3 linked regions of the Macaca mulatta genome follow. The protein of the gene in region 1 binds, or shares a complex with, the protein of each later gene. Links are inferred from orthologs where the notes say so. Each region holds a gene or a part of one and is shown on either strand. Other genes may lie near its edges. The genes, in order: NR0B2, NR5A2 and NR5A1.

Region 1 (10,679 bases):
ACCAGCCTGCCTAACATGATGAAACCCCATCTCTACTAAAAATACAAAAACTTAGCCAGGCATGGTGGCGGGCACCTGTAATCCCAGCTACTTGGGAAGCTGAAGCAGGAGAATCTCTTGAATCTGGGAGGTGGAGGTTGTAGTGAGCTGAGATCGTGCCATTGCACACCAGCCTCGGCAAGAAGAGCAAAACTCCATCTCAAGGAAAAAAAAAAAAATGCTGGGTGCAGTGGCTCATGCCTGTAATCTCAGCACTTTCGGAGGCCAAGGCAGGCAGATCAGGAGGTCAGGAGTTCGAGACCAGCCTGGCCAAAATGGTGAAAACCCGTCTCTACTAAAAAATACAAAAAATCAACTGGGCGTGGTGGCAGGTGCCTGTAGTCCCAGCTACTCAGGAGGCTGAGGCAGGAGAATTGCTTGAACCCGGGAGGCGGAAGTTGCAGTGAGCCGAGATTGGGCCTCTGGACTCCAGCCTGGGTGACAGTGAGACTCCGTCTCAAAAAGAAAAAAAAAAAGAGAGAATCACTTGAACCCTGAGGCAGAGGTTGCAGTGAGTCAATATCACTCCACTGCACTCCATCCTGGGGGACAGAGCACGACCCTATCTCAAAAAATAAAGAAAGAAAGAAAAGATAATGGAGCCGGGTGCGGTGGCTCAAGCCTGTAATCCCAGCACTTTGGGAGGCCGAGACGGGCGGATCACGAGGTCAGGAGATTGAGACCATCCTGGCTAACACGGTGAAACCCCGTCTCTACTAAAAAATACAAAAAACTAGCTGGGCGACGTGGCAGGCGCCTGTAGTCCCAGCTACTCGGGAGGCTGAGGCAGCAGAATGGTGTAAACCCAGGAGGCGGAGCTTACAGTGAGCTGAGATCTGGCCATTGCACTCCAGCCTGGGCGGCGGAGTGAGACTCCGTCTCAAAAAAAAAAAGAAAGAAAGAAAGAAAGAATAATGGACACCAGATTGCTCAGTGTGAAAGACGGGAGGTATAAATGCACAAGAGGCAAAAACTAGAATGAACCATGTGATGTGAGCTTGGAATTGGAGATGATAGTCTGAATTCATGTTTAGTATGTGTAATTATAGAAATAAAGATAATTGTAAATGTGTGTGTGTGTGTGTACACATTCATTAGCTCTAGGAGGGACTGGGACTAGTGACCCTCATAACAATGAACGATTCTGGTTTCTTTTTTTTTTTTTTTTTTTGAGACAGAGTCTCACTCTTGTCACCTAGGCTGGAGTGCAGTGGTGGGATCTTGGCTCACTGTGACTTCCGCCTCCCGGGTTCAAGCGATTCTCCTGACTCAGCCTCTCGAGTAGCTGGGATTACAAGTATGCATCACCACGCCTGGCTAATTTTTGTATTTTTAGTAGAGACGGTTTTGCCATGTTGGCCAGGCTGGTCTCAAATTCCTGGCCTCAAGTGATCCGGCCGCCTCAGCTTCCCAAAGTGCTGGGATTACAGGCTTGAGCCACCATGCCCAGACGGTTTATTTTATTTATTTATTTTTATTTATTAGTAGTATTTTTAGACAGAGTCTCACTGTGTCTCACCCAGGCTAGACTGCAGTGGCACAATCTTGGCTCAGTGAAACCTCTGCCTCCTGGGTTCAAGGGATTCTCCTGCCTCAGCCTCCTGAAAAGCTGGGACTACAGGCATGTGCCGCCATGCCAGGCTGACTTTTGTATTTTTAGTACAGATGGAGTTTTGCCATGTTGGCCAGGCTGGTGTCGAACTCCTGACTTCAGGGGATCCATCCGCCTTGGCCTCCCAAAGTGCTGGGATTACATCCAGCCCTATTATTATTATTATTACTATTATTATTATTATTATTATTTTGAGACAGGATCTCATTCTGTTGCCCAGTCTGGAGTGCAGTGGCACGATCTCGGCTCACTGCAACCTCTGCCTCCCGGGTTCAAGCTATCCTCCCGCTTCAGCCTCTCTAGTAGCTGGGACTACCATTGCATGCCACCACACCTGACTAATTTTTGTATTTTTAGAAGAGACAGAATTTCACCATGTTGGCCTGGCTGGTCTCGAACTCCTGACCTCAGTTGATCTGCCTGCCTTGATCTCCCAACGTGTTGGGGATTACAGGCATGAGCCACCATGCCTGGCCCGATTTTTATTTATTTATCTATTTTTAGTCAGGGTCTCATTCTGTTGCCCAGGCTAGAGTGGAGTTGCATGATCACAGCTCACTGCAGCCTTGCCCTCCTGGATTCAAGTGATCCTCCCACTTTAGCCTCTCGAGTAGCCGGAATTATAGGTGTGCACTACCTGCCTGGCTAATTTTTGTATTTTTTACAGAGATGGGGTTTCACCATGTTTCCCAAGCTGGCCTTGAACTCCTGGGTTCAAGCAGTTCACCCACTACAGCCCCCAAAGTATTCGGATTACAGGTGTGAGCCACCGCGTCTGACCAGTTCTTGGTTTTTTAGTATGATTCTAGTGCCTACTTCATGCTTTCTAAATATTATTTTCCACTAAAAGATTGAATCAGAGCTCTTTGGAGTACTGGTTGATTCCAGCGGCTGGAAAAGTTGATATCTTGTTATACAAGAAAGCAAATGTTCCAGGAATTATGGAAGCAGGCCAAAATGACATGGACCCCAGCTTAAAAGGGTTCCCATTGACCAAATAAATATAAATATTCAGGGTTTGGGGGGAGGTTTTGTGTGTGTGGGGAGGTTGTTTTGTTTTGTTTTTGTTTTTTAGACAGAGTCTTGCTCTGTCTAGAGCAAGGCAGGAGGGCAGTCGCACAGTCATAACTCACTGTAGCCTTGAAGTCCTGGGCTCAAACCATCTTCTTGCCTCAGCCTCTCAAGTAGTTAGGGCTACAGATATGCTCCACCACACTGGCTAATTTTTTTTGGTAGAGATGAGGTCTCACTGTGTTGGCCAGGCTGATCTTGAACTCCTGAAGCCTCAAGCGATCCTCCCACCTCAACTTCCCAAAGTGCTGGGATTACAGGCGTGAGCCACCGCGCCCGGCCGTGTATTCTTTTCTTAAAGAGGATCCTCCAAATTGTAACCGTCAGGCCCCATAAAACCAATATCCACCTCTAGATATTCTTGTCATCATTTAAAAAATGAGGAAACTGAGGCACAAAAAGAGAAAGTGATTTGCCCAAGGTCACTCAGCTAAGTGAAGAAGCAGGATTTGGACCCAGCCAGTCTGACTCGAGTCTGCTTCAAGGGGACACTGTGAAGATTCAGTGAGATTTAAAGACATGAAAGGAACTTTATAAATTTAAGGATTAAGACTAATAATCAAATGAAAGAGGTATGCCTGTTTGTCCACTGGTGCTCAGCTCCATAGAGGAAAGGGGCAGAAAAATCCTTCTACCATATGGCAGAAACTACTTGGAATTTAACAACCAGGACCTCATTTTGTCCCCATGGCAGCCCTAGAGGCAAGCATTATTGTCCCAGTGAGGCTCCTGAGGCTCATCGAGGTTCAAGGATCAACCCAAGTCACACAACTGAAAAGTGATGGATTCTGGAGCAGATGCCAGAGCTGGTGATGCCAGAGCCTCTCTCTCCCCATCCAGGGCACCAGGCTGCCCAACAGCATGCAGCAGAAGGTTTGCCACGCTGGACTGGCCAAGGTCCAGAAACATGACACAACCAAGGGCCTCTCCACCTTCTCTCATCCCCGGTGCTCTACCATCTGAGAAAGATGCCCGGGACAGAGGAGCCACATGGCAGCAGAGCAACATTTCTGCCTAGATCACAAGTAGGCAGAGCAGGCTGCAAAGCAGGCAGCAGCAAGGTGGGGGCAGCTAGCCACAAGCTCAGAGAATCTCAGGCTCTGGCTGTGCAATTGGGCCAATGGGTCCAGGGGAACAAACAAGGACTTTGGAGTCAGGCAAGATCTGGGCTTGGTCTTCCTGGTGGGATGACCTTGGGCAAGTCACTTTAACTTTTTTAGTCTCACAAAGTAAGAATCTAGCCTTAGAAGGAGGCTGCCAATATTAGAGTGGGAAGTGCCTGACACATAACAGGTGCTCAGAGAATGGCAACCATATATATATATATACACACACACACACACACACACACACACACATTTTTTTTTGAGACAGGGTCTTGCTCTGTTGCCCAGGCTGGAGTACAGTGGCATGATCTCAGCTCACTGCAACCTCTGCCTCCCAGTTTCAAGTGATTCTTTTGCCTCAGCCTCTAGGGTAGCTGGGACTACAGGCACATGCCACCATGCCCGGCTAATTTTTGTATTTTTAGTAGAGACAGGATTTTGCCATGTTGGCCAGGCTGGTCTTGAACTCCTGACCTCAAATGATCCCCCTTCCTCGGCCTCCCAAAGTGCTGGGATTACAGGCATGAGCCACCATGCCCAGCTGGCAACTATCTTTTATTATAACTCTGTGAGTTCTTCTCAGCAGAACTGGACTTTCAGGAGTGGTAGGAATCAGGCAGGGAAAGGCCGGGCGCGGTGGCTCAAGCCTGTAATCCCAGCACTTTGGGAGGCCGAGACGGGCGGATCACGAGGTCAGGAGATCGAGACCATCCTGGCTAACACGGTGAAACCCCGTCTCTACTAAAAAAAAGTACAAAAACTAGCCGGGCGAGGTGGCGGGCGCCTGTAGTCCCAGCTACTCGGGAGGCTGAGGCAGGAGAATGGCGTAAACCCGGGAGGTGGAGCTTGCAGTGAGCTGAGATCCGGCCACTGCACTCCAGCCTGGGCGACAGAGCAGACTCCGTCTCAAAAAAAAAAAAAAAAAAAAAAAGGAATCAGGCAGGGGATAGGGATTCTGAAGGACCTTATTCCTGCAGGGGGCCCAGAACTGAAACCAGAGGAAGGGGGCCTCCGAGACTGGACAGCGGGCAAAGTCCTCCCAGCCCCCCCAGGGTCCTGGCTCCCTTCCCTGTAGCCTGCTCCTGGCCGACAACAGAAGCAGGGCCCCAAGGTTAGGCAAACAAGCTAGTGATAAGGCACTTCCAGGTCGGGCCTTGCATTCAAGGCCCACCCAGCTCTGGGGCTGACTTCCTGGCTTAGCGAAAGCGCTAGTCTTTTGTGCACACAAGAGCAGGCACCAATGGGGACACCTGCTGATTGTGCACCTGGGGCCTTGGTGCCCTGGTACAACCTGGGTTAATGACCTTGTTTATCCACTTGAGTCATCCGATAAGGGGCAGCTGAGTGAGCGGCAGGTGGCCCTGTGCCCTGCACCGGCCACTTCATTGACTGAAGTGATATCAGTGCCACGTGGGGTTCCCAATGCCCCCTCCCCCACCACTTCCCCACCATTCCTGCCAGGGGCAGTGTCTGTGTGTTTTTTTCAATGAACATGACTTCTGGAGTCAAGGTTGTCGGGCCATTCCCCCCCTTCCACTCACTGGGAATATAAATAGCACCCACGGCGCAGAACAGAGGGCCAGAGAGCTGGAAGTAAGGGCAGATCCCAACCATGAGCACCAGCCAACCAGGGGCCTGCCCATGCCAGGGAGCTGCAAGCCGCCCAGCCATTCTCTACGCACTTCTGAGCTCCAGCCTCAGGGCTGTCCCCCGACCCCGTAGCCGCTGCCTATGTAGGCAGCACCGGCCCGTCCAGCTATGTGCACCTCATCGCACCTGCCGGGAGGCCTTGGATGTTCTGGCCAAGACAGTGGCCTTCCTCAGGAACCTGCCATCCTTCTGGCAGCTGCCTCCCCAGGACCAGCGGCGGCTGCTGCAGGGTTGCTGGGGCCCCCTCTTCCTGCTTGGGTTGGCCCAAGATGCTGTGACCTTTGAAGTGGCTGAGGCCCCGGTGCCCAGCATACTCAAGAAGATTCTACTGGAGGAGCCCAGCAGCAGTGGAGGCAGTGGCCAGCCGCCAGACAGACCCCAGCCCTCCCTGGCTGCAGTGCAGTGGCTTCAGTGCTGTCTGGAGTCCTTCTGGGGCCTGGAGCTGAGCCCCAAGGAATATGCCTGCCTGAAAGGGACCATCCTCTTCAACCCTGGTGAGCTCCCAGACACTCCTGGGTAGGGGGCAAGGCTGAAGCAGGAGCCAGCCAGGGAAGGTAACTTCTAAGGGTTTGATATCTGTAATCTCATGGGGTCCACATTTTCTTTTTTTTTTTTTTTCTGAGACAGAGTCTCACTCTGTCACCTACTCTGGAGCGCAATGGCGCGATCTTGGCTCACTGCAACCTCTGCCTCCTGGGTTCAAGCAATTTTCCCTGCCTCAGCCTCCCAAGTAGCTGGGATTACAGGTGCCCGCCACCACTCCCGGCTAATTTTTGTATTTTTTAGTAGAGACGGGGTTTCGCCATGTTGGTCAAGCTGGTCTTGAACTCCTGATCCCTCTGGTGATCCACCCACCTTGGCCTCCCAAAGTGCTGGATTACAGGCGTGAGCCACTGTGCTTGGCCGGTTCCTCATTTTCATCAAATAGCCATCTCACAGAAGAGGTACAGAGAAGCTAAGTGACGAGCTAAAGGTAACACAGCCAGGTAGGGACAGACCAGGATGGCAACTCAGGTCTATTCACTCCAGAGACTGGCCCTTGCCACTCTGCCTGAGAAATTTGCTCTGACCTTTAGAGAAGGCTGCGGGGGAGGTGGGGTGGGCAGACACAGCTGTGTCTCAGTCACATCTTCAAAGGAAGGCTGCATGGTGAAGCTCTAGAGCTGAAACTCCTCTGTGGGTTCAGAAAGATCACTTAGAAGAGAGAACTGAAAGGGGTGTAGGGAGGACAGGAAGGGAGTCTTTGTGGAATTTGGCCAGGAGAGTGGCAGATGAGACAGTGCTCTTTGTAATCTGGAGAGCATCTGAGATGAGCGTTCCCCAGGAGTCCCTGTGGCACGCATAAATCGTAGTAGTTAATTGCAATAATAGTAGCAAATACTCATATCACACTTACCATATGTTAGGCCCTATTCTAAGGGTTTTACATATACTAGTTCATTTAAATCTCATAAAAACCTAGGAGACAGGTCCTATTAATATTATTATCCTCGTTTTACAAATAAAGAAACTGAAGCCCAGAGATTAAGTTACTTGCCCAAGGTCACCCAGCTAAGTGACAGTACTGGGATTCATACTCAGGAAACCTGATTCTTAACCATTACTCCATACTGCCTCTTCATAAATGGATGGATGAATACAATGGAAATTGATAAATAAATTACCTCCTCCAAAGGAGGAGGTAGTAGTGGGACCTCAAAGGCCGAGCAAAGGAGGCAGAGGGGTGTCTCTGATGGCCCAGATCTTGGGCCAGTCTCTTCCTTTGGTGGCTGGGAGTAGGATGCTCACCAACCCTCTTCTCCCTCTCTGCCCACAGATGTGCCAGGCCTCCAAGCCGCCTCCCACATTGGGCACCTGCAGCAGGAGGCTCACTGGGCGCTGTGTGAAGTCCTGGAGCCCTGGTGCCCAGCAGCCCAAGGCCGCCTGGCCCGTGTCCTCCTCACAGCCTCCACCCTCAAGTCCATTCCGACCAGCCTGCTTGGGGACCTCTTTTTTCGCCCTATCATTGGAGATGTTGACATCGCTGGCCTTCTTGGGGACATGCTCTTGCTGAGGTGACCAGCTGCAGCCCAGGCAGAGATCAGGTGGGCAGAGGCTGGCAGTGCTGATTCAGCCTGGCCATCCCCAGAGGTGACCCAATGCTCCCGGAGGGGGCAAGGCTGTATAGACAGCACTTGGCTCCTTAGGAACAGCCCTTCACTCAGCCACACCCCACATTGGACTTCCTTGGTTTGGACACAGTGCTCCAGCTGCCTGGAAGGCTCTTGGTGGTCCCCACAGCCTCTGGGCCAAGACTCCTGTCCCTTGTTGGGATGGGAATGAAAGCTTAAGCTGCTCATTGGACCAGAAGTCCTACTGACTTTATACAGAACTGAATTAAGTTATTGATTTTTGTAATAAAAGGTATGAAACACTTGGAGCCTGATACTGTTGTTTGTGCATATAGAAGGGACTGTCTCACCTCCAGGGCCCACCCTGCTCCTATCAGAGGTAGCCCAAGGGAAAAAATCCACAGGGTTGCTGGAACTAATTTTCCAGGGAACAGTATCAGTTCACAATCCCATCACCTCATTGCCTTTATCCTCAGGGGAAGGAGGTTGCTCTCCTGTTCCCAAACCCTTCACTAACCACTCTCCTGGCTCCTACCCACTTCATGCGCCCTCTCACCACAGTTAAAGCCCAATCACAGCCAATCAGGAAGCAGTCCATTCCCGAATTGAAACAGACAAGGTCACTGCCATTTCTGCAGTTTAAGATCATTCACTTCCCCCATTCCTGCAGATGACAAAAGACGGTGGTCCATTATTTTCCCAAAGGGAAGGGACAAGGGCACCCAGGGCTGGCCTGGCAACTACTTGAACGCCAAGGCAGAGCAAGGTTTAGCTGGACCACCAGGATTTGACTACATCAGTTGTTTAAGTCTGAAACCCTTCCAGGACACTTGGATCATAGCCACCACCCTGAGGCCTCCCAACTTTCCTTCCCTGCCCCTCTGCCCCAGCCCCTCTCCTGGGATTCTCCTCCCAGACATTCCCACTGTCTAACAACTAAAGAGGCAACTCTTGGCATAGCCATGACCTCCCTGACTGCTCCATTCAGAATATGACTTGTGTCTATTCTGATTGGTCAATGTCTGTGCCTCACTGTTTGTTAAATATTTTGACCCAGTCGCCATGGGTAAGGGTGAGTGACCTGAAGGGTGGGCAGGAAGGAGTGATAACAACACACATGCCTATAGGATTTTCTGGCCTCCCCCTTTCGCCAGCGGTAAGTCCTGCCCTGACCAGTCCCCACCCCCTTCACCATAACAGTTTGGATTCTTCTCACAGGTGCCCAGTTAATGATTGCTCAATAAGAGGCCATTCACTTGGGGATAAGAGTCTAGGTGTCATCATTCAGGCCTTTCTCTAAGCCCCCCAGGTTAGGACGACAGCTGATTGGCCTCGTACCCATTATGGTGACCCAGTGCCAGCAGCAAGGGGAACCCTGTCCCTTGCCCAGCCTCTCACTCACAAGTCAGACACCAGATAGAGACAAAAACACAGCTGAGATCTCACACAAATACAAACAACACAACTTGGACCCCCCCAATACACACACACACTAAGATGTACAACTCAGGCACGCCTACACAGACCCAGAACACAGACTCTCCAACCACCCACTTACAGCCCAGAAAAGCACTGCCCAGATACAGTCACTCAGCAACGTACTGCAGACCCTGACACAGTCACACAGCACAAGTACGCACCCTTGCACCTGAGGGTAGGGCACACAGTGTGGAGACACCCCCATCCAGAGTGTGTTCATCTTCCCCATGTCACAGGAAAGGGAAAAGTGGCCCCCTAAGTAGGCAGACCTGTGTCTGCACATCTTCAGGGTCCTCTCAGAGCCTGTGAGCCCAGGCCAACTGCTCTGCCTGGCATTTGGGACCCCAACTAACCATTCATCCTCTTTCCCCGTGGTGACTTCAATGTCCATCCTCCTCTCAGCTCAACAACTGTCCCCAGCTGGGACCAAATCAAATCCCCAATAAAGGCATCCTTCAGGGCCCAGAACAAGTCCTGCATCCCCCCATCTCCCACCAGATGCCCCAAACTCAGACCTCAGGCTCCCGGGCCTCTCTCTACCTGCCCTCCCCATCCCTCTGGCACACATCACCCTGTGTAACCTTGTAGACGCATGAAACCGCTCTTTCAAGAGCAGAAGCCCTGTTTCCCACATAGGACCCAAATCCAGAAGATTCAGGGATTTAGGGTCATTCTTTTTTTTTTTTTTTTTTTTTTTGGAGACGGAGTCTCGCTCTGTCGCCCAGGCTGGAGTGCAGTGGCGCGATCTCGGCTCACTGCAAGCTCCGCCTCCCGGGTTCACGCCATTCTCCTGCCTCAGCCTCCCGAGTAGCTGGGACTACAGGCGCCCACAACCGCGCCCGGCTAATTTTTTGTAATTTTTAGTAGAGACGGGGTTTCACCGTGGTCTCGATCTCCTGACCTTGTGATCCGCCCGCCTCGGCCTCCCAAAGTGCTGGGATTACAGGCGTGAGCCACCGTGCCTGGCCCGATTTAGGGTCATTCTACATCTTTTATGCCCTGCCAGTTTCTGCCTCTATTAATTAACTGCCACACCTCTCTGAATCCTCCCACCTCTGAAAAAAGCTGGATCTTCCCACCTCTTACCCTTCCCCTTCTCTAGCCCTGAACAACCATTAGGAAGCATTCCCTGCCATGCCCCACCCTAGGCTTTTTTCCTCAACTTATTTAATTTTTTCCGTCATCCAAATAGCTTCCCTTATTAAGTCTACCTTGCCAGGCACTACTGGTGGCTCATGCCTGTAATCCCAGCACTTTGGGAGGCTGAGGTGATAGGATCGCTTGAGCCCAGGAGTTCAAGATCAGCCTGGGCAATGTAGTGAGATTCCTGTCTCTACAAAAAATTATAAAATTAGCTAGGGGCCAGGCACGGTGGCTCACACCTATAATCCCAGCACTTTTGGAGGCCAAGACAAGCGGATCACCTGAGGTTGGGAGCTCAAGACCAGTCTGGCCAACAATGGTGAAACCCTGTCTCTACTAAAAATACAAAAATTAGCTAGGCATGGCAACACTCGCCTGTAATTCCAGCTACTTGGGAGGCTGAGACAGGAGAATCAGTTGAACCTGGGAGGCAGAGGTTGCAGTGAGCCGAGATCGCACCACTGCACT
Region 2 (10,867 bases), about 160 Mb from region 1:
TCTCCGGAGTTTCTTGTCTGGAAACTGGGAAGTTGATTCCAGGACCAAGCAGTGGATTCCGACCAATTTTCTTTCCATTCCTGTAGAGGCCGCTGGAGCAGGTGAAGCTTGCAGGGGGCCAGGAAGCAGAGGCTGCAGGCATCCAAACCCTGAGCAAGGAATCCAGCACTTACCGTGAAAAATGCTACCATGGGTGTGGGACTAGCCTATCTCGCTGCAGGAGGCACAGCTAGGTTTGTCAAAAGTGCTTTTTTTTAAAAAAAATTGACACCTAAATTGTCTTTCCCTATCCCCTTCTTTCATGGGACAACAGTATGTTTGTTTATGCTATCTAATTCAGTCACTCAATTTGAGTGATTTCCCTGCCCTCCTCATATCCACTGACTCTATAACAAGTACATGCTCTGAATTTCCTCTCAGGTCCTTCTCACCGTCTGTTGGCAGCCCTGCGAGTTGCTACCATACACCACAAATTCACAAGCTAAACTTCATCCAAACTCCAGAGATCCTTTCCAGGAAACTCCAGAGTAGGGGACCAGAAGTGCCTTCATCCCACCCCACTCAAATCTCAGTCCTCCCAGATGCGATTTCCACTCTGCTCTCCATACACTACTCCCTATGCCACCCTTCTGAATTCTAGAAGGATCCAAATCTGATTTCTACTGTAGAATGGAAAGGAAGATTAAAAAGCCACTTATAAATGTGTTTCTTAAGCTCGAAATGTCTCTTGGAGGAAAGTTTACATAGACCAACATTGTATTAAATCATAATTCCTTTATATCAACAAGAACAAGTAGTTACTACCTTGGAGAAAGAGTATGTATTTCAGAATATTTCTTGGGCTCTGTTTACAGTTCATTCTCTTGACAAGCTGAGTAAATTACTTGACCTCTGATTCCATTCTTTAAATCAGTAAAATTGGGTTAACAAAGTAAGCTTTATAGTTAAATGAGATAGTGCCAGGAAAGAAATATACTATGCTGGAGATACACACACACACACACACACACACACACACATCTCAGTTCCCCTTTGTCCTGCTTTCCCCTTAGCTTCACTCAAACTCATCATTCTGTAAGAAAACTAAAAAGGGAATCACTAACCATTCTAGGACCACCTTCCAGTGGGATGTGCTTGTTAACTTGATTGTCTTGCAGGACTTGACAAAGTCCTTGGAGACAATTACATTTATCACCAGATAAAACTGCTCATGTAAGTGCTCATGGTCATCTGCATTCAGGTTATTTGGTGTTTAAAAGTTAAACTCCAAATATCTTTTCTTACTTAGCAACCACACAAAAACATACATAACAGCTTCCCAAAAGACTAAAGAAGAGGCAACCTTTATCAACTGGCCTGGTCAGTTTTAGTTCACATGGTTTTCTCAAGCTTGACCTCTCCAGATCATATCGGTCATATTTCAACTCTTCCCCAGGGCCTCCCCAGAGCACAATGCCCTCCAAACTCCTGAAGTTCCTTGAAGCTAACTGGATTTATCTGAGAAGTGTCTTCCAATAAGGTGAAGCGTGAAGAAGTGCAACTCAAAGAACTAGCTTTATCCTAAGGTAGACTCTAGACCTGTAGAGTGAAGTTGTCTTGCCTGCCTAGTGCATCCCTGGGGGTGGGGATTGGGTTGGCCTGTAGGTGGAAGTCTGACAACATGCCCTTCTCTAGCTCAGCTCATGTTCAAGGCTGAATCCAAGATAATCCTAGACATTGTGTCTGGTGGAGGGGTCAAGTAAAGGAGAGAAGCATTAACAAGCCTCTGTTCTCCGTTCCTCTATAAATCTCTCTTGGTTTATTAGAAGAGGTGTTAAAGATGCCGGGTGCAGTGGCTCACGCCTGTAATCCCAGCACTTTGAGAGGCCGAGGCGGGTGGATCACTTGAGGTCAGGAGTTCGAGACCGGCCTGGATAACATGGTGAAACCCCATTTCTTCTAAAAATACAAAAAATTAGCCAGGCGTGGTGGCATGCACCTGTAATCCCAGCTGCTCGGGAGGCTGAAGCAGGAGAATTGCTTGAATCCCAGGAGGCTGAGGTTGCAGTGAGCCAAGATCATGCCATTGCACTCCAGCTTGGGCAACAAGAGTGAAACTATGCCTCAAAAAAAAAAAAAAAAAAAAAAAAAAAAATTCCCTTTTTTTTTTTGAGATAGGGTCTCACTTTGTTACCCAGGCTGGAGTTCAAGGCATAATCACAGCATCCTCGACCTCCCTGGCTCAAGTGATCTTCCAACCTCCACACCCAAGCCCTAGTCACTGGGACTACAGACACATGCCACCACAACCACACACAGCTAATTTTTTTTTTTTTTGTAGAGACTGGTTCTATGTTGCCTAGGCTGGTCTCGATCTCCTGGGCTCAAGTGATACTCCAGCCTCAGTCTCCCAAAGTGTTGGGATTACCAGTTTGAGACACTGTGCCTGGCCTAAGAACTCTTTTAACTCTGGTCACAACCTGTGGATCCAGGCCAGAAAAGAGGAATCTGAGAAGCGCTGTTTTGGAGATGGGCGGGGGCATGGAAAGAAGGGAGGCTCCGGAGTTTAGCTTCCCAGAAGAAACTGGCAGCCTAAGCCTGAGCTGCGAGAATCAGAACATGGGCTTGGGTGGTTAGCATTCTAAATAAAGCTGGCTGGAGGTTAGGGTGACATAACGGCTATCACACTTTCCACTGATGACGTCTACTTTCAGAGATCCTTATGAGCGCAGAGCTTGGTGGAGGTTATCACTGAAATAAAATCAGACTCAGAGTGTTCAGGGGACCAGATAGCAAGCCTCATATTACAGACTCAATACAGTGTTTGCACTGTGTATCATGTACCCCTAAGTATGCAGACATAACCTTCTGTGGATAATATGCAATATTATAATGAATGCATAAAATATTCTGCAAATGCAGTTAATTTGAAGAATTATGGAAATTTAATATGAATCAAAGCACAATATTGGGCACATTGTGGGAGTTGTCAATAAATACTTGTTTCATGTATAACATATTTCCTACCACACAGATAAGGCTCTTTTCTTAATATAGGTAAATATAAAAAGCCTCTAAAGTTAGTACTGCATATTATTCAATAGAATCATCCTATCTGGGAGAAAGAAGAAAACAGAGACGAGAAACCAAGAGTTTGACCAGCGTCCCAGAGTTAGTTAACTTTAAGGGAGCAATCTAGTTATAACCTGAGCGTGCTGCTCTTACACTACATTGAATGATTATCTTGCAGGTAGGCAGAAGGAACAACTTTATCTCAATTCTGCTTTTCTATACAAGCACAGACATCTACACAAAACTTTCATGTAACCATCAGTGTGCATACAAGATGTAGTCCCTAGTTAAAAACCATGGAGTCGCTTTTTAAATAAAACGAGGCCCATTTCCTAGTACAACACAACTGAATTAAATGTAGAATTGTAAACCCTGACTGATGTCTACATACACCGGGCTCAGTTTTGTGAACGACTCAACACAACCCAACTTGCAATTTGCCATCTGAAAGCTACTCTCGAGACCCTCAGTCACTCTCTACAGCTGCACCCGTGGGTTCTTCCCAGTGGGGCTGCCCTGGGCAAATCAGAAAGACCCATTCAAAGAGCATCTCTCCTTCAGGAATCGGGTCAGGCCCTTCAATGCAACAGTTCAGTCTGATGGCTCCTCACCGCCCTCTCTTCCTCTGCCTCAGCCCTTTGGATGGCTCTGTCCAGCCATTCACCCTGGGAACGACGGTCAGCACCCTCCTGGAGGCTACGAGGTTAAACAGACGATCTCTCGGTGCCAAAGTCGCCTCGGGGTCACTAAGATGTTGCAGATGCGGACACCTCACAACCACCTGCGGGGCTGCAATACCAGGAGGCGGAGGGGGTGTGCTTGAGTTGGGAAGGGGCGGGTGGCTGCGAATAAGATCCTGAAAGAGGTCTCTTTTACCGGAAACTGGAATTTTGTTATCCCGGAATCCGGCGCCCGGAAGTGCCTGCACAGGTTTAGGATGTTGGGGTAGGCTCGCTGAGGCCAGGGGAGAGCCTTCTTCGGTACTTTTCTTGAGGCTTAGTCCCCAGCAGCCTCTCATGGGCTGGACCGACAGTCCTCCGGTTCCCAGCCCTCTGCGGTGGGACGGATTCCAAAGCTGCAGGTGTTCTCTGTTTACGCTCAGCGTGTACCCGCCTCGGTTCCTTGCTATGTGAGTTGCGGGTGCGGTCGGTGGAAATACAGTTCTTCCCGGGTTGCAGAGAGAAGTGCAACAGCGTCTCCTTCCCCTACCTTACCCTCTTTAATTCACCCTTGGGGTCTGGGGGAGACAGCGGGGGATCGGCGTGTGTGGTCTCCCGACCCAGCTCAACTCTATTTTGGCAGCGACCAGCTGGGGCTGCGCGCGGCAAGAGCCCAAGACCGCCCGCGCGGGCGCGAGCCCCCGAGCGCGCGTCCCCCGTGCGCGCTCAGTCCGCGTCTCCCGCCCGAGCGCGCTCTAGCTGCGGCCCTCGCCACGGAGCGGGAGCTGCGCGGAGCTGCCGGGAAGGACTCCTCGCCTGCACACCGCGGCGGTTCAGACCGACGAAAAAGATGCGAAATCGTTTTGTGCTTCTCTCTCATCTTTCTTGTGCCTGTATTTTCTGTGTTATCTGCAGAACAATTGATTGTGTGTTACACCCTGCTTGCCTTCCCCGTGTTTTCTTTTTCGTAAGTATAGAACATTTTTGGTAAACATTTCCTCAAGTGATATACTTTAGGGTGTAGTTGGCCCATAAAAAAAAGCAATCACTGCATTCTGTGGAGTCAGCTGACTCGGAAGGAAAAAAGAGGAAAAACTCAAGCCTGGGTTTTTCTTTCTTGTTACAATGGAGCTGAGACTCAGAGCTCATGACAGGCCCCTGCAAATTCGGAGGGAAGTTCCAGTCCGAAAGCCTAGGAAAATGCTACCAGAAAAGACACAGGTCCTTCAAAAACCGGGGGAAAGGCAGAAGGGCATGACTTCCAACAGACAATTACAGACCACTGAGAATCACTTCCCTTTAGTCCTTTACTTTTAGGATTAATTGAATGTAGTCTTGCTATAAAATTCACAAGTTTGTAACTCTATTTTTTAAATGAAAAGTAGCTTTATTTACTTATTTCTGTTTGTAAAAACAAAATATACTAATTGTTGCAAAAAAAAAAAAAAAAAACAGTAGCTCTTAACTTCAAATCCTTTATTAGTGATGGTCTAGTTTTTTGGGTTTTATTTTTTGGCGGGGGGGCATGGCTTTCATTCCCCAGGAAGATAAAATGAAAAGTTTTTACAGTATAAGCAGAGAATGAGACACCATACTTTTGTGTGGGTTGAAAAGTAACAAATACTTGACAGCTATCTGTTAAAGTTTGATCAGTGATCAGTCAATATGATTAACTTGTTTCAAATTGTTCAAATTTTAGCTTATTATTTCTGATTAAAATTATCAGCAAATATTAAAGTTGAAATTGTTAAATTATAAATTATATTTTCTCGCTGTTTAGGCTAATAGAATGCCACCAGTAAACACTAGATATAATGAATAATATTCATATGTTGAAATATTCATTTGCTTTTTTTGAACTGCAAGAAAGATAAATGTGTGATACACATACATGGGCTTATTATGTGCTTTTAATAAACATAATAGGAAAAGCCATGACTTAAAATGCAAAATCCATCAATGAGATTAAATTATATGTATGTACTAGCAGAATAAATAGATGATCAATAGAGCAACTCCTACTTACCAATAGGTGTAAGTCCGTGCTTTAAAGACTCTTGTAAATCCCCAGTATCCGAATTAGAAGACATTCTTAGTGAAATTATAGGCAGTTCTTTGGCCTAAAGCAGAAATCATTGAGCAAAAGAAAAGTGCAGCTTGTCAAATTTCGTGGCCTTGGGAAGGACACATCAGACTACGGTAACCCTTAGTGAAAGTTAAGAAAAAGCAAAGGGAAAAAAAAATCCAGAATTCATAAAGTTACAAGCAAGTCTTTCCCTGGACTCTGTACTTTTTCCAACATTAGTGACCTGCTGTAAACCATGTATCCAGTTTCATGATGATTTCTAATCAGAAGAGTGGAAACTTTTGATAGGCTTTGACTCATCACATGACTCTATGCAGGTTGATAAGAGGACCCTGTTATAAAGTGACAGCAAAAGAGATAAGAATTCTTGCCAGATAATGGCAAAGAAATGATTAACTCAGAAGTGGAGAGGTGCTGTGCAGCACAGAGTGGAAAGTTGTAAAACTGAGGGGTCAGAAGATCAGACTTAGTGGATAAAACTACAAACCAGCTAACTAACTTAGTCTAACTAAACTTTGGCTTGTGACATACCCCTTGATGTCGTCACCTCTTTGCATAGAGGAGGACGGACATAGCTCTTCTGACCTCTGTAAATATATTTTAGATGAAAACATTGGCAGACATTAATTCTTTAAGTGATGACTACAAATGTGATCGACACTCTGAAACACTAGAGGTAGCATTTCCAAGCTTATGGTCATTTATTTATTCATGTTGTGGTCAACCAACTTTTTTATCGGGCCTATTCATTAGATGAGGAGTTAACCTTAGCTTGTTTCTACATTGGTCATATGGCTAAAACACAATCTATCTCTTTATCCCCAAAAAGTAAAACTTATGCTTTGAGATTAATGCTGGCAAACTGATGAATATGTAATAGATTTTTCATAATTATAAAGTTATTATTCTTAGGCCGGGCATGGTCACTCACACCTGTAATCCCAGCACTTTGGGAAGCCAAGGCAGGCAGATCACCTGAGGTCAGGAGTTCAAGACCAGCCTGGCCAACATGGTGAAACCCCATCTCTACTAAAAATGCAAAAATTAGCCAGGCGTGGTGGTGCAGCCCTGTAATCCCAGCTACTTGGGAGGCTGAGGCGGGAGAATTGCTTGAACCTGGGAGGCAGAGGTTGCGGCGATCTGAGATCGTGCCACTGCACTCCAACCTGGGTGACAGAGTGAGACTCCATCTTCAAAAACAATAACAACAACAAAAAAACAAAAAATGATTTTTGTTTTTGAGACAGGGTCTCACTCTGTCGCCCAGGCTGGTGTGCAGTGGCATGAACTCAGCTCACTGCAGCCTCCGCCTCCCGGGTTCAAGCAATTCTCCTGCCTCAGCCTCCCAAGTAGCTGGGATAACAGGGGCGAACCACCATGCCCGGCTAATTTTTGCATTTTTAGTAGGGACGGGTTTTCACCAGGTTGGCCAGTCTGGTCTCAAACTTCTGACCTCAGATGATCTACCCGGCCTCCCAAAGTGCTGGAATTACAGGCATGAGCCACTGCACCCAAATTGGCCAAAATCCCTAATTTTAATATTGACACTCCTTTTAAACTAAGTAAATGCAGGTTGTGTGTATGTGTACAGATAATTTTTAACTCAATATATAAACATTTGTTGTAACAAAACTTCATATATCATTTGATGGATTTAGTAGTCTTTGTCTAAAGATTCACTTTACAGAATTTATGGTCTATTTATTTATTTAGAGATGGGATCTCACTCTGTAGCCCAGGCTGGAATGGAGTCGTATAGTCATAGCTCACCCAACCTCAGACTCCTGGACTTAAGCAATCCTCCTGCCTTAGCCTCCTGAGTTAGGACTACAGATGTGTATCACTACACTTGGCTGATTTTTAAAATTTTTTGTAGAGACAGTGTATTGCTGTATTGCCCAGATTGGTCTCCTGGGCTCAAGCAATCCTCCTGCCTCAGCCTCCCAAAGTGCTGGGATTACAGGTGTGAGCTACCTGTAAACCCAGGACAGTCATTTTTTTTCCTTTTTCTTTTCTTTTTTTTTTTGAGACAGAGTCTCACTCCATTGCCCAGGCTGGAGTACAGTGGCACAATCTTGGTTCACTGCAACCTCTGCCTACCAGGTTCAAGCGATCCTCCTGCCTCAGTCTCGCTAGTAGCTGGGATTACAGGTACATGCCACCATGCCCGGCTAATTTTTGTATTTTTAGTAGAGACGGAGTTTCGCCACATTGGCCAGGCTGGTCTCGAACTCCTGACCTCAGGTGATTCACCTGCCTCAGCCTCCCAAACTGCTGGGATTACAGGTGTAAGCCACCACATCTGGCCCTTTTTTTTTTCTTTTGTTTTTTATTCAGATTATTGTTAGTTATTTCCCCTCTTGCTTCACTTCATGTCAGTTGAAATATAGCATCTGAAAGTGCTCTCCACTACCTTTCAGCTGTGCTGCTGGCTCTGAACCTTGCCCAAGATCAACTTGCCTTTATCAGGTTTGGGTGGCTTGGGGTCTGGGTGACCCCTGAAGTCAGAATCAGAAGTGGCCACAGCCATGACTTGTGGTCCTCTGAGTATAAGAAATGTCCCCAGTTGTATATCCTCACAGTCTCATGAAAGTAAGATTTGGTTGAGTAGACCTGCTCATGGAAGGTGGGTAGTTTCCAAGTGGCACTGGTACACACCAAGTGAAATAACTGGTAATCCTGGCTGTCAGCGGAGCCAGGTCAACTTGCTGATATGCATGCTGTTTTTCCTTTGAACTTTAAGTTCTTATGTACACATAAACAATCCATCCTACTTTTCATTAACACCATGTTAGGTATTATTTTCTTAGATCGATATTTTTCTTTTAAAGAAAAAAAAGTTATACGGTGGATTTTAAAATATTGTTATTGAAAACAATGATTTCTTCTTTGATTTTAGATGGAAACCCAGAAAGGACCTTCCTCCCTCCCTCCCTCCCTCCCTCCCTCCCTCCCTTCCTTCCTTCCTTCCTTCCTTGTTTCCTTGTTTCGCTTTTCTTTCTTTCTTTCTTGACAGAGTCTCACTCTGTCACCCAGACTGGAGTGCAGTGACACGATCTCGGTTCACGGCAACCTCCACCTCCCGGGTTCAAGTGATCCTCCTGCCTCAGTCCCCCTAGTAGCTGGGATTACAGGTACATGCCACCATGCCCAGCTGATTTTTGTATTTTTAGTAAAGATGAGGTTTCACCATGTTGGCCAGGATGGTCTCAAACTCCTGACCTCAGGTGATCCACCCGCCCCGGCCTCCCAAAGTGCTGGGATTACAGATGTGAGCCACTGCACCCAGCTAATTTTTGTATTTTTTTGTAGGGACAGTGTATCACCATGTTACCCAGGTTGGTCTCAAACTCCTGGGCTCAAGCGATTCTCCTGCCTCTGCCTTCCAAGTATATGGAACATATATTTCTATGGATATATTTTGCATCTGTAACTGCTTTGAAATACGTAGGTCTTCTTTTACACATGCCAAAGTGTTGGATACATATTTCTTGAGGCCTTTCATATCATTCAGTCCATAAAATTACATTGTCCATCAGATCCTCTCAATGCACTGGTTATAGCTCTAACTGTTTTCCTGAGGAAACCACTCAGTTTTGGTTGCTGAATGCAGCCTATATAAGCACAAATCATGAGATCATGGTAAGAATGAAGGCAGGGTAGCAGGGTGGTTAAGAGCCTAGGATTTGAGGTCAGAAAGCTCAGGGCTTCCATTTGTGCTTTGCCCCCTTCTCGGTGGCAAAGTAATGCTTGGCTTTTTTTTAAGCCTTGAATTCCTCATAAGTAAAAATGACAAAAATGATGAAATCCAGTAGTTTTTGTGGTAAGATGTAAATGAGAAATAAAGTACTCAGTGTCATGTCAGAGAAAGAAAGCACTCAACGTGTCATCAAAAGTGAATATGGAGGCTGGGCGCAGTGGCTTACACCTGTAATCCCAGCACTTTGGGAGGTTGAGGCAGGTGGATCACTTGACGTCAGGAGTTCAAGACCAGCCTGGCCAACATGGTGAAACCCTGTCTCTACTAAAAATACAAAAAATTAACTGGGCAAAGTGGTGCACGCCTGTAATCCCAGCTACTCAGGAGGTTGGGGCAAGAGAATTGCTTGAACCCAGGAGACGGAGGTTGCAATGAGCCAAGTTCATGCCACTGCACTCCAGTCTGGGCGACAGAGTGATACTCCATCTCAAAAAACAAAAAACAAAAAACAAAAAAAAGTGATTATGGGCTATGTGACTTGGGATCTTAAGTGAAAGACACATCTTCCTTAGTGGAATTTTAGAAGACATACTAAAGTTTCTGTTTTTGGGTTTTGTTTCTGACACCAATTCTATCTTAGTCACGTACACTATTAGAGACCTTATAGAAGACCTCATAGGATTCATATAATTAAACAGCACCATAAAGTGATTTGTGGCTGGGCACGGTGGCTTAACACCTGAAATCCCAGCATTTTGAAAGGCTGAAGCAAGAGGTTCACTTGAAGGCACGGGTTTGAGACCAGCCTGGGCAATATAATGACACTTCATCTCTTAAATAATAAATGAAATAATGATAAATAATAAGGAATAAGGAATAAATAAGTATTTATTAATAATAATAAATACAGGCCAGGCACGGTGGCTCACACCTGTAATCCCAGCACTTTGGGAGGCCGAGACGGGAGGATCACAAGGTCAGGAGATCAAGACCATCTTGGCTAACATGGTGAAACCCTGTCTCTACTAAAAATACAAAAAAATTAGCCAGGCGTGGTGGTGGGCGCCTGTAGTCCCAGCTACTCGGGAGGCTGAGGCAGGAGAATGGCATGAACCTGGGAGGCAGAGCTTGCAGTGAGCTGAGATTGCACCACTGCACTCCAGCCTGGGCAATAGAGTGAGACTCTGTCTCAAAAAATAAAATAAAATAAATAATAATAATAATAATAATGAATACAAATAGTAAAGTGATTTACTTTTCTTCTTGTCCTTTCTGTATATGGTTAACAAAGCATGTAACAGCACAAAGATTGAATTTCATGCTATACTGTCTGCCTCTAATCAGACATAATTGTTTTTAAGAATGTACAAA
Region 3 (10,205 bases), on another chromosome or scaffold:
AAGTGGGAGGGGAGTGTGTGACTCTGGTGTCCCTTCTGGCTGATCATTCATTTCCCCACCTCCAGACAGGGCACATCTTAGCAGACAGAAGAGGGGGCTCTCTGGCTCTGAGAGTGGAGCAACCCTTGGGCTGGACACTGGGGACATTAAAATCATCTGGACCCAGGAAGCTGCCAACCTGGAGGAGAAGTCAGACATGTACCGAGATAATGCCAGTGTGAGGTGCCCAGGGCTCTGAGAGCCACAGAAGAGGCAGAGGGAACCCCGGGGGGAGAGCAAACAGCTCTAAGGAAGTCAAAGAACAGTTCTGTGCCTTTCTAGAAAGTAGAGAAGGTTCAGGGGATTCCAGGCAGTGGGCACAGCAGAGGCAAAGGCCCCAAAATGTGAAGAGGCATCGTGTTCTGGGAGTTCCAATGGGCCTGTGAAGCAGGGCTGGAGATGTTGGCAGGGCCAGAGCAGAGCTTGGACCAGGAGTGGGTCCTTGGGCAGTGGGTGATGGATGGCCTGTTGGGGCTGGCTGGGGCTCCAGGTTCTGGGTCGGGGAGGGGCTCCCCTGACAGAGCCTGGACTCTGAGCAGAGGCCCACTCAGCCCTCTGATGCTGATGACATCTTGCTGCTCGGGAGGAGTCCTGGAGTCTCAGCTGAGCTCTCAGGGGTGCCAGGGACCCAGTTGTGTCTGATGCTGGGCTCTAAATGCCCTCTTGGGATCTTCCTCCCATATCTTCTTTCCCAACTGGGATGGGGGTCCCTCTGTCTCCATTTTTCCATCGCACACAATCCCAGCATGTTAGATCCAATAGTGGCACAGAAGTGACTATCAAAGACTAGAATCAGAGAGGCCTATTGTCAACTTCCAGCTCTGTCGCTTACATGCTGTATGATTTTGGGCAAGTGACTTCACTCCTCTGGGCCTCAGTTTCCTCATCTTGAAAATGGGAGGAGTTGAAATAATGTCCACCCATTGGGCTGTTGTAAGGGGTTAGTGAGCCAGGACAGGGGAAGGACTGAGCGCGGGCAGTTTACGAAGTGAGGTCGCAGCGTCCTTCCTCTCTTCCCCTTAGCCACACTGTTTAATGCAGGCCTGGGCGGGGAAGCAGCAGGGAGAGACACATTGGACCCAAGCTCCTCTGAGCGCACGATTGTTCCGGGACCGTCTTGGGGCCACTTTGTCCTGCGCTTATAAAGCAACTTTTTCCCTGCAAGGTGGCAGAAACTCACCTGTACCTGCTGCTTGGTGGGCAGCAGTGTCCAGGGCCCAGGCAGTCAGCCTGTATGATCACTTACCGCAAAGGACAGGCTGGGAGGATGCAAGGCAGGACCCGGGGGGGCGGTGGGGGCCAGGAGTGCCCAGTGACCCATCTTGACATCTGTTCACCCTCAACATCCAGCTCCGAGGCCCCCACTGACAGCAGATTTAACTGCCCAGATAGACGGTTTCATTTAAGCGGCAGTAACTGTCAGTCTTGGGCTGACAAATGACACCTCACTGACCACTCGGCCGGCAGAGCACGGCGGCCAGCCCACGGTGTGTCAGCCACCAGAGAATTACACAGCCTGCCGGCCTTCACAGCCAGACCGATCGGACCCCAGGGGGCTCCAGAGGGGCCCTGCTGGGAGGGAGGTCAGCTTGGCACCCATAAATACGTGGTCTTCGAGGCAGCCTGCAGAGCGCCAAGGCTCCAGGAAGATTTGTGGCAGTCTGGCAGGAGGGATGGATGGCTGATGGGCCCAGCAGACAGGCCATGCTGGTGGAGACCCCAGGGCTGGGGCTGCAAATGTCCTTGTTCCCAGGGTGGCAAGGAGGCCTGAGGGTAGAGGAGCCTTTAGCGTAGGGAGGGACCTTCGGAAAGTGAAAACCAACCCTCTCTGGTTAAAGGAACCTCTTAGCCACCTGCTTTCTCATGCAGAGGGTCTGGCAGCTATGGCCCTGTGGTTTTCTTTTAAATAAAAAGAGGGGTGTGTGTATGTGTGTGCATGCGTGCGTGCGCGTTCTTATCTGTGTGGGGAGTGTTTTGGAGTTTGGTGTCTTTGTGCATCCATCTGTCCACCCAAGGAAAGCAGTGAGTCAAGACCTGCTTGGCCAAGGGGCAGGTGGGATCCCAGCCAGGGAGCATCCACGGAAGAACCAACAGCAGGTCCACCAGTTCCCACACAGCCCAACGTGTGTTCTTACGTTTTAACCAAAAAAAAGAGAAATTATATTTCCTTCTTCCCAGAACAGGAAATTAGGGTGGAGGATGCATGGTGGACAATGCATGGCTGGATGGGGACTCGAACACAGGGCATGGGGCACCAAAGCCTCAGGGACAATATTGTGGCTCTCTGCCCCTGGCACCCCTATCAGCCCCACCGGGCAGGCCTGCCCCATCCAGGGTCTAAGGTCTGGGTACAGAGTCTGCTCCCAGGGCTGGGCCAGCCGGGTCACCGTGACCCATCTGCTTTTGGCCTGAAGCGTGGCTTATCTCCTCATTCTACCCCTTATCGCTCCTCCGCCACCTCCCCACCCCCTTGTGCCTTCATTCTGGGCGCAAGGGTGTCTGCTCCTGTGGGCCTGCGAGGGGTGGGGTGCCAAGCCTGGCCCTGTGCGACCACCTGGGTACCCAAGGTGGGCCTGAGTTTTTCCTGCTGCCAGTGTGACACCTGGGCAGGCCCCTCCTATCCGGGTCTCAGGAGGTTCCCAGGGTCCCCAGAAGTCCTGGCCGGTAGGAACCTCTGGGCAGAGCCCAGCTGCCTGAAGCCTGAGTGTCACCTCCGGCAAGGCTGTGTTTCCTTATCTGTAATGTGGGCAGAATGTCAGCAGGGCAGGGGTGAGGTGTCCTGTACCGCACTGGGCACCGTGTCTGGTAATAGGTGCTCTCTGAGCCTTGGCTCCCTCCTGGAAACCGCAGCTCCATGGGGGCCGGCACTTCCGTGGAGAGATCCGGAGAGATGGCTGAGTCAGCCCCTGCCCAGGCCTCAGTCTCTCCTGGACCCAGCCAGGACTGAGCCTGGGGGCCCATGGTAGGGGCTCTGGAAAGAAACTTTTGCTGGGAGCCGGAGGGAGCTCTGGACCCAGAGGTGAGATGGGGATGGAGGGAACGGACATAGACCTCCCTCTTCTCCACCACGTGGGCCCGCAGGCCGGTCTGTGTGCCAATTCCTGACTTTTCCCTCTCCTTTTCTCCCCCTCTGTCTGCCTGAGGACACAGGCCCCAGGGAGGCCCCAGGAGAGAAGGGGAACAGAGAGGAGGGGGGAGGCTTCTATCTCCTGTTCATTAGGCTTGGGCCAGCTCCCCTCTGACTGGGAGCCACCCCTAGGTGGGGAGTGGCCCCTCTGAGCCCCTGGCCCCAGGTGGGGAGTGATCCCTCTGCACTCTGTGCTTGTCTTGGGGAGAACCTTGCCATTCATCAGCCACTCTAACCTCTGCTCTGGGGCCCAGAGAAGAGCCGGACACCAGTTCTGCCTCCCCAGATCTCACAGGTATTGGCGAAGGCAGAGGCATTTAACTGATGCCATGAGATGTTGCAGATTCTGCATCCAGAGAGTGGGGAGGGCCTCGAGGAAGGAGAGGGATGAGGTAGGGATTTGTAGAGGAGGCAAAGAGCCTGCGAGAGACCAGGAACTCCTGGATGGCAAGGCGGGTGAGTGACAGGTCCTCTTCCACAGCTAGTGGTTAAGAGCGCAGATCTGGAACCAGACAGAGCTGTGTGGCCTCTCTGTTCAGTTTCTTCTCTCTGTCATGCGGGTGGTGACTGGACAAACCTCGCAGGGCTGTAGGGCTGCGGTGGAATGACTGTTCGCTGTCATGGTTTGCATTCGTCAGAGGGCACGGCCCAGGAAGGTGCGCCGGAAGTGTCTGTTGGGTCGCTGGTGGCCAGCTGAGGAGTGGCACAGGCTAAGAGGGATGGGGCTATGTCTGCCCAGGCCCATGTGCAGTGCTCAGTGTGCTTCCGAATACCCAGAAGGGCTCGTTTTGTCACAGTGGAGATTGTGGACCAGGAATGCCAGCCGTGGCCCTGGCCTGGTCCTGCCTCTGTGTGATCCTGGGAGAGTCTCTTGTCCTCTTCGGGTGGCATATTCTTCAGTTGAAAAATAGGGATTGGGGCCAGGGGATCCCTGGCTCTGCTTCTGAGTCCTGCAGAGTCAAAGGACACTCCAAACAGGGGCTGGCCCTGCCCCTGCACCGAGTGCCTCTGGCTGCAGCCTGGGCATTCGGAATTGCCCCTTGTCGCTGTTCGTTTCTGCTTCAGGTGCCAGGCCATTGCCGCCCCCCTGCTCATGCCCTGGGCCTGACCGCAGGCCAGGTGGGACCTCCCTCCTTCTCCTGAGCCTGAGAGCTCTGCGTAGGCCTGGGGGGAAGCGCTTGGTTTCTTCCTCATGGCTTCTGTCTGAGCAGTTGGGGCTGCCAGAGGTGTAACTGACCACAGGTTTTTAAATGCGGACAATGTTAAAATTAATAATAATCTTGCCATGCATTTGTAGGAGTCCTTTGCAGAGTACCTCCATGGACATTAGTCACATGTATGGCGTACCTAACATGTACCGGACTGTCCGCTCAGTACTTTGCCCACTGTACAGATGAGAAAACTGAGGCACAGAAGATTACCAGGACTTATGTAAAGTCATACCGAAGACAGAGCTGGGGCCTGAAGCCTGGCCCATTCAAGCCCCAAACACCCCTTTGTTAACTGGCCAGACCCCTGTTGCACTTTGATAGCACAGACATTCGGGTAGATGGGCACAGAGAGGTTAACTCGCCCCGGCCGCACGCCCAGTTGGGTCTCAGTGGGAGGAGAAGGGGTTAGAAGAAGGTGGCTGGACCTGGACCCTGGCTGGAGCCCGGCCCCCCGCGTGCCTCTTCCTTCCAGGTTGCCGACCAGATGACACTGCTGCAGAACTGCTGGAGCGAGCTGCTGGTGTTCGACCACATCTACCGCCAGGTCCAGCACGGCAAGGAGGGCAGCATCCTGCTGGTCACCGGGCAGGAGGTGACCAGCCCCTGGGACCCCGCCCCGCCCCTGGGCCCCGCCCCGGCCCCGCTGTGCACTTCCAGGATTCAGGGCCTCGGAGAGGAGGACCCAGGCCTCTTGGGGCTCACTCTGGGCACCCTGATTATCAGCCCTTTCCCCACATTCATGGGGCACCCACTGGTCTGACCCCTCTGCGAGCAGCCCTGGTCCAGGCTTGAGAGGCGCCGGCTGCTGGGAGCCCTGCTCTTGGGGAGCAGCTCAGGGGGTGTGGGCATGGTCAGAAGAGGTTCATGGAGGAGGATGTGATGGTGGCCCTGGGTCTGGAAATAATCCACTGGAGTTGGCTGGGGTGAGGGGGGCAGTCCTCACCTCCACCACAGGCTCAGAGAGGGTGGAAGCGTGGAGCCCCCAGGCCCTGCTGGTGCTGGTATGGGGTGGCATGAGGTGACAGACCAGGGAGGCTGGAGGGTTGCTAGGGCTGAGTTAGCGGACAAAACCTTGCAGGCCCTAAATCTTGAATGAATGAATGAATGAATGAATGAATGAATGAATGAATAGGCAAAGGGCTCCTGAGAGCTCAGAGAATTTGGGCCCCTTAGAGCAGGAAATGAGGATCTGGGAAGTAGAAAGTCCAGATGCAGCAGGGGTCCAGGGAGAGCTTTAGGAGGAGGAGGGACATGGCCAGGTAGCATCTGAGGAGGCAGGCAGAGGGGTCAGATGGGAGGTGGGGGCCAGGGCGGGGACACAGGGACACAGCCAGGGAAGAGGACTCACCTGGGGAGACGGGCTGTAGGGAAAGAGAGGGAGGGAGAGAGGCAGAGAAGGGGGTTGATGGCAAGGGTCCAGCCTGCTGGCAGGAGCGTCACTCCCAGGTGGGGACACAGGAGGGACCGTGGGGTCGGTGGGTGCTGTGGGGTGGGGGAGACAGACTCTGCTCACTGCTCCAGCGCCCCTAGGCCTCTGCTCCTCACCTCCAGCTCTCGCCTTGGTGTCACAGGCCATCAGGGGCAGGAGGACAGGACGGGCAGCACTGGACCCAAGAGGGTATATCTGGGGCTCCCTGTGGGCGCAGGTGCCTGCAGTCTGCATGCGGTGTGAGTGTCGGCAGGCCGGCTGAGTCTCTGTGGCCATGGGAATGGCCTGTGTGTGTGTGCCTGCCTGTGTTTTATTGTGCAAAATCTCCACACACATCAGTGTGTGGGTGTCACTGTCTTCCCATCAACCCGTAATTGTGAACACATACATAGGCGTGTGTGTTGCTGTAAGTGTGAGCATACAAGGGCGGGTGTGGCCGTGTGCACATGTGTGTGCCTTCACTTCATGGAGTGGGCGACCCCATGACTGAGCTCGTGTGTGTGTGTGTGTGTGTGCACGCGCGCGTGAGACCCTGGGCTGAACTGTGACCCAGCATCTAGGTGTGAACGTAGGGGTTCTGGGCAGCCACGTGGATGGCGTCTGTGTGTCCCTGCGCAGGCCTGCCCTCCCCTGACCCCTTCCCTCCCAGCGTGTAGAGGGCCCCTCTGAACTGCTGGTGCTACTGGGCCTGGTGCTGGGGTTTGTGTGTGAAGGAGGGGTGGACGCGGGCAGGACGTGGGTACCCTCAGCTCTGGGCCTGGCGGGTTGAGGACAGCTTGGAAGGGTGGGCCCGGCAGGGTCCCCGGGGCTGCACAGGTGTCACCTGTGCCTGGCTCAGTGCCAAGGCTGGGCCCTCCTGACCCCAGCCCATCTGACCTGCACCTCCAATCCATGCCCTCAGCCCTCTATCCACCATCAGAGAGCCCCCTGCCTGGACCCACGTCCTCTGACTGTCCCCCACCCCGTGCCCTCTGTCCCCAGGTGGAGCTGACCACGGTGGCCACCCAGGCGGGCTCGCTGCTGCACAGCCTGGTGTTGCGGGCACAGGAACTAGTGCTGCAGCTGCTCGCGCTGCAGCTTGACCGGCAGGAGTTTGTCTGCCTCAAGTTCATCATCCTCTTCAGCCTGGGTGAGTGCGGCTCCAGTGACAGAGAGGCGGAGACAGCCAGGGGCAGGCGGGTGGGAGGGTGGGTGAGGCTGGAAAGGTAGCCCTGCTAGGGCCAGAGTGGCCACAAAGGAGCCTCAGGGGAGAAAGGCCCCTCCCTTACTCATTCAGTGAACAAAGGTCTGAGGGCCCCCGGCCAGGGCCTGGCTCTTAAATGGGGACGGCTCCCCATCTGGTGGCCCATGTGACTTTGGGATTGGTATTCCAGGCTCCTGGGGTCCCTGTTTTCTCTAATTCCTGGATCTAGGGGGCCCCAGTTCTGACTGTAGCTCCTGGGGGCCCGGACCCCTTTGCCCATGCACGCATGCATCCATTCATTCACTCTACAAACAGGCACCGAGCAATTGCACCGGAGAAGGCACTGGGAATACCGCTGTGAGCAAAACCCCCAAAGCCCAGCCGTCGTGATGCTGACCTTTCTAGGGGGGATCATGAGCATAATACGATTAGGAAGACGTAGGTTCCTAACACGATTAGGCAGGCATAGGGGGACAGCTGTGACCAGTGCTAAGGAGGAAAAGAAAGTGGAGGAGAGGCAGAGAGCAGTCCTGGCCCAGTGCAGCCCGGCCACCCACCCCACTCCCCAAGCACCTGGGGGGGTCTCCCTCCCTTTGCCCTCCTGACCCCAACCCTGCCTGGGCACTCCAGTCTGCACCCTCACTCCCTGGCAAGCCGTCACCAATGCCCTCCCCATACCCGGCGATGCTGAGGACATAGCTGTCCCTTGCCAATCGAGAAGAGACCTGCAGCCTGGGTGGTTAGGCCTGAGACAGAGAGATGGGTGTGGCTTGGGGAACCCTGGGTGGGGAGCAAGAGCTCTTTCTGGAAGGCTTCCTGGAAGACGGACATCTGAGCAGGGTTTTGGAGGATGAATAGGAGTTTTCTGGGGGATGAATTATTTTGCAGTGATGCAGATGCGATGGAATAGAGATGAGTGAGTGCTTCATCACCTGGAGAGGGGGCAGGATTAAGATATTGTCTTGGTGGCTGGCATTATAGTCACAGTCTGGGAAGGGCGTGCCTGCCAGAGAGAGGGAGGAGTGGGGAGTGTTGCGGAGGCAGAGGGGATTAATGAAAAGTGGGAAGCCCAGTGCTCGGGCGGGATTGGTGACATCCTCCATGCTATGCGGCTGGGTGCGGTGGGCTGGGTCTCCCAACTCTGGCAGAACAGGCTGGTAACTGGAGGGCTTATCTGCAAGGCCACCTTAAGCCACCTCTCAGGACACCAGCCAGGGCTCTGCAGGAGCTATGGCCTGAAATCCTTGCAGGAGCCTCAGGGGCCCAGACCCGGTTGGCTGCAGCTGGGGAAGTTCCCTCCTACCTCTGCCGGCAGCAGCACCTTACCCGCAGCCTGCCAGACTCAGCAGGCTGGCACAGGATAGAGTCACAGACATGCGTGGCGGGGGTCTGTGTGGTTGGGGCATGGAACCTGCAGGAATTACGCGAACGTCTGTCTCTGTTTCCGCGCATGTGTGTGTGCTGGCATGTGCAAACGACGAACTTTCACACGCTTGTGGTTTCTTAAGTGTTAGGCTGTGTGAAGAGTTTGTGTGTGATTGGGGAGGGACCAGGAGATCTGGGAACATGAGGGATTTGTGGCGGAGAGTGGTGCTTGGAGGCACCTAGAATTGGAGTGTGTGTCCGCAGGAGTCTGGGTGGTTTGTACGGTGAGAGTTCTTGACCTGGCTGCCATCACAAGGCCACTGGGAGGGCCCTAAGGAGGGGTGGGTGGAGGGTGGGCTCTGTCTGTCCTTGGGTGTCCCCTGAAAAGCAGGGACAGTGTCTTGGCCCCCAGCCCCTCTTCCCACCAAAGCCTTGGGCATAGCTCTGGCCGCCGCTGGGGGTGAATCCAGGACTCCTCCTTCTCTGGGGCTTAAGGAAGATGGCAGAGCTGATCCCTCCTCTCTTGGGTCCAAGTGTGGGCATGCTCAAAACTGGAAGTGCCCCGCCCTAATGTCGTGCTGGTCATCAGCTTTTTTTTTTTTCCAGATGCAGCAGCTGAGGCCTGAGAGGTGGGAGAGGCTCCAGTGCTGGGCTGGGACAGGCTGAGTTGCGGGGAGAAGTGTGTGTGTGTGCGCATGCGTGCTGTGTGTGTGAGAATCAAGGTGGCGCAGTGCTTAGGAAAGGGAACTAGGTAGGGATGAGGAGTGGATTCTAAATCTGGCCTCTGGTCTCTTTCTGGCTGTGTGCCCTTGGGCAAGTCACTCCCCTCTCTGAGCCTCTATTTCCCCATCTGTAGAGTGACCCTCCTACTAATCCCTAACTTGTTACAAGGATTGAGTAAGAGAATTCCCCAAAGTGCCCAGCGCTTGGCTGAGCCCTGGGAAGTATGTGCCAGAATTGTTTTAATCATAATCACCATTATTAAGTTAGTGTGCATATGCATAAGTGAATGAATGAAGTGAATGAATGTTCACAGTCTCTATCGTTATCACCGGCTGTGTGTCTGGCACAGTGCGTTATCTTTCCGCACAGGAACATGAGTCTGGCTGATGTGGGTGGGTGAGCCCTGAGCCCAGCAAGCCAGGAACCTGGTGAGGTTGGGGGTACCAGAGAAGGAACGGGAGGAGATTCCAGGACCCCAGCTGATGGCAAGCAGTGAGAAAGGGGTGTGGGGGGCCGCAGCGGCCTTTGGCTGGCCAGCTCCAGGTTGGAAGAGGAACCCCATCAGTTCAGTGTGATCAGGGTTGGGTCAGAGAGGAGAAACCAGCACCACCTGGCTATCAGGGAAGGCTTCTGGGGGGTGGGGGCTCTGAGCTGGGCTTAGCAGTATGAGTAAGAGCATTCTGGGTGAAAAAAAAAAAACAAGCGGCATTAATGGCTTTCCAGACTCAAGGAACAGCTTGTGCAAAGTTCCGGGAATCCTGAAAGTTCTGTGTGGCTGTAGGGGTGGGGACGGGGTGGGGAGGAGGCTGGCGAGGGGACAGGAGCTGAGCTGGGCAAAGCCTTGAATGCCAGGGCCTGGTACCTTGAACTTTCTCTTGGGAAGGACTTGAAGCAGCCAGCAACATGATGAAATTTGCATTTTATCAAGATCCTTCTAAGTGCAGCATGGGAAAAGGATGGCAGGCAGGCAGCCCAGAGCCCTGGCAGAGGCTAGACCTGGAGCTGGGCTGGAGCAGATTCCAGGGTCTGGAGCAGAGGGCTCCTCTCCTGATCCCACCCAGACCACCAGAGCTGGGGCTCCAGGGAAACTGGGACCCGGAGAGGGACCGCCGCTTGCCAGCAGACCTC

Evidence for each region.
Region 2: the proteins of NR0B2 (region 1) and NR5A2 are in contact, whole or in part, in a crystal structure (PDB 1YUC), measured with the Homo sapiens proteins. The link is inferred for Macaca mulatta from reciprocal best matches to the Homo sapiens genes NR0B2 and NR5A2. Residues at the interface, in NP_068804.1 of Homo sapiens: Arg17, Pro18, Ala19, Ile20, Leu21, Tyr22, Leu24, Leu25, Ser26, Ser27, Ser28; in NP_995582.1 of Homo sapiens: Phe354, Val357, Arg361, Phe366, Val371, Asp372, Gln374, Met375, Leu378, Gln379, Asn529, Asn530, Leu531, Glu534, Met535.
Region 3: the proteins of NR0B2 (region 1) and NR5A1 are in contact, whole or in part, in a crystal structure (PDB 1YMT), measured with the Mus musculus proteins. The link is inferred for Macaca mulatta from reciprocal best matches to the Homo sapiens genes NR0B2 and NR5A1. Residues at the interface, in NP_035980.1 of Mus musculus: Thr19, Ile20, Leu21, Tyr22, Leu24, Leu25, Ser26; in NP_001303616.1 of Mus musculus: Ile275, Val278, Arg282, Phe287, Val292, Gln295, Met296, Leu299, Gln300, Asn450, Leu452, Glu455, Met456.

Annotation. Positions count from the first base shown.
Region 1 is NC_133406.1:214,063,789-214,074,467, forward strand, and holds NR0B2 (nuclear receptor subfamily 0 group B member 2), read left to right. Parts: upstream 1-5,379; 5' UTR 5,380-5,440; coding exon 5,441-5,972; intron 5,973-7,294; coding exon 7,295-7,536; 3' UTR 7,537-7,892; downstream 7,893-10,679. UniProt on the Homo sapiens protein: Transcriptional regulator that acts as a negative regulator of receptor-dependent signaling pathways. Specifically inhibits transactivation of the nuclear receptor with which it interacts.
Region 2 is NC_133406.1:57,678,105-57,688,971, reverse strand, and holds the start of NR5A2 (nuclear receptor subfamily 5 group A member 2), read right to left. Parts: upstream 6,021-10,867; 5' UTR 5,801-6,020; coding exon 5,737-5,800; intron 1-5,736. UniProt on the Homo sapiens protein: Orphan nuclear receptor that binds DNA as a monomer to the 5'-TCAAGGCCA-3' sequence and controls expression of target genes: regulates key biological processes, such as early embryonic development, cholesterol and bile acid synthesis pathways, as well as liver and pancreas morphogenesis.
Region 3 is NC_133420.1:23,288,331-23,298,535, forward strand, and holds part of NR5A1 (steroidogenic factor 1), read left to right. Parts: intron 1-4,849; coding exon 4,850-4,969; intron 4,970-6,787; coding exon 6,788-6,935; intron 6,936-10,205. UniProt on the Homo sapiens protein: Transcriptional activator. Essential for sexual differentiation and formation of the primary steroidogenic tissues. Binds to the Ad4 site found in the promoter region of steroidogenic P450 genes such as CYP11A, CYP11B and CYP21B.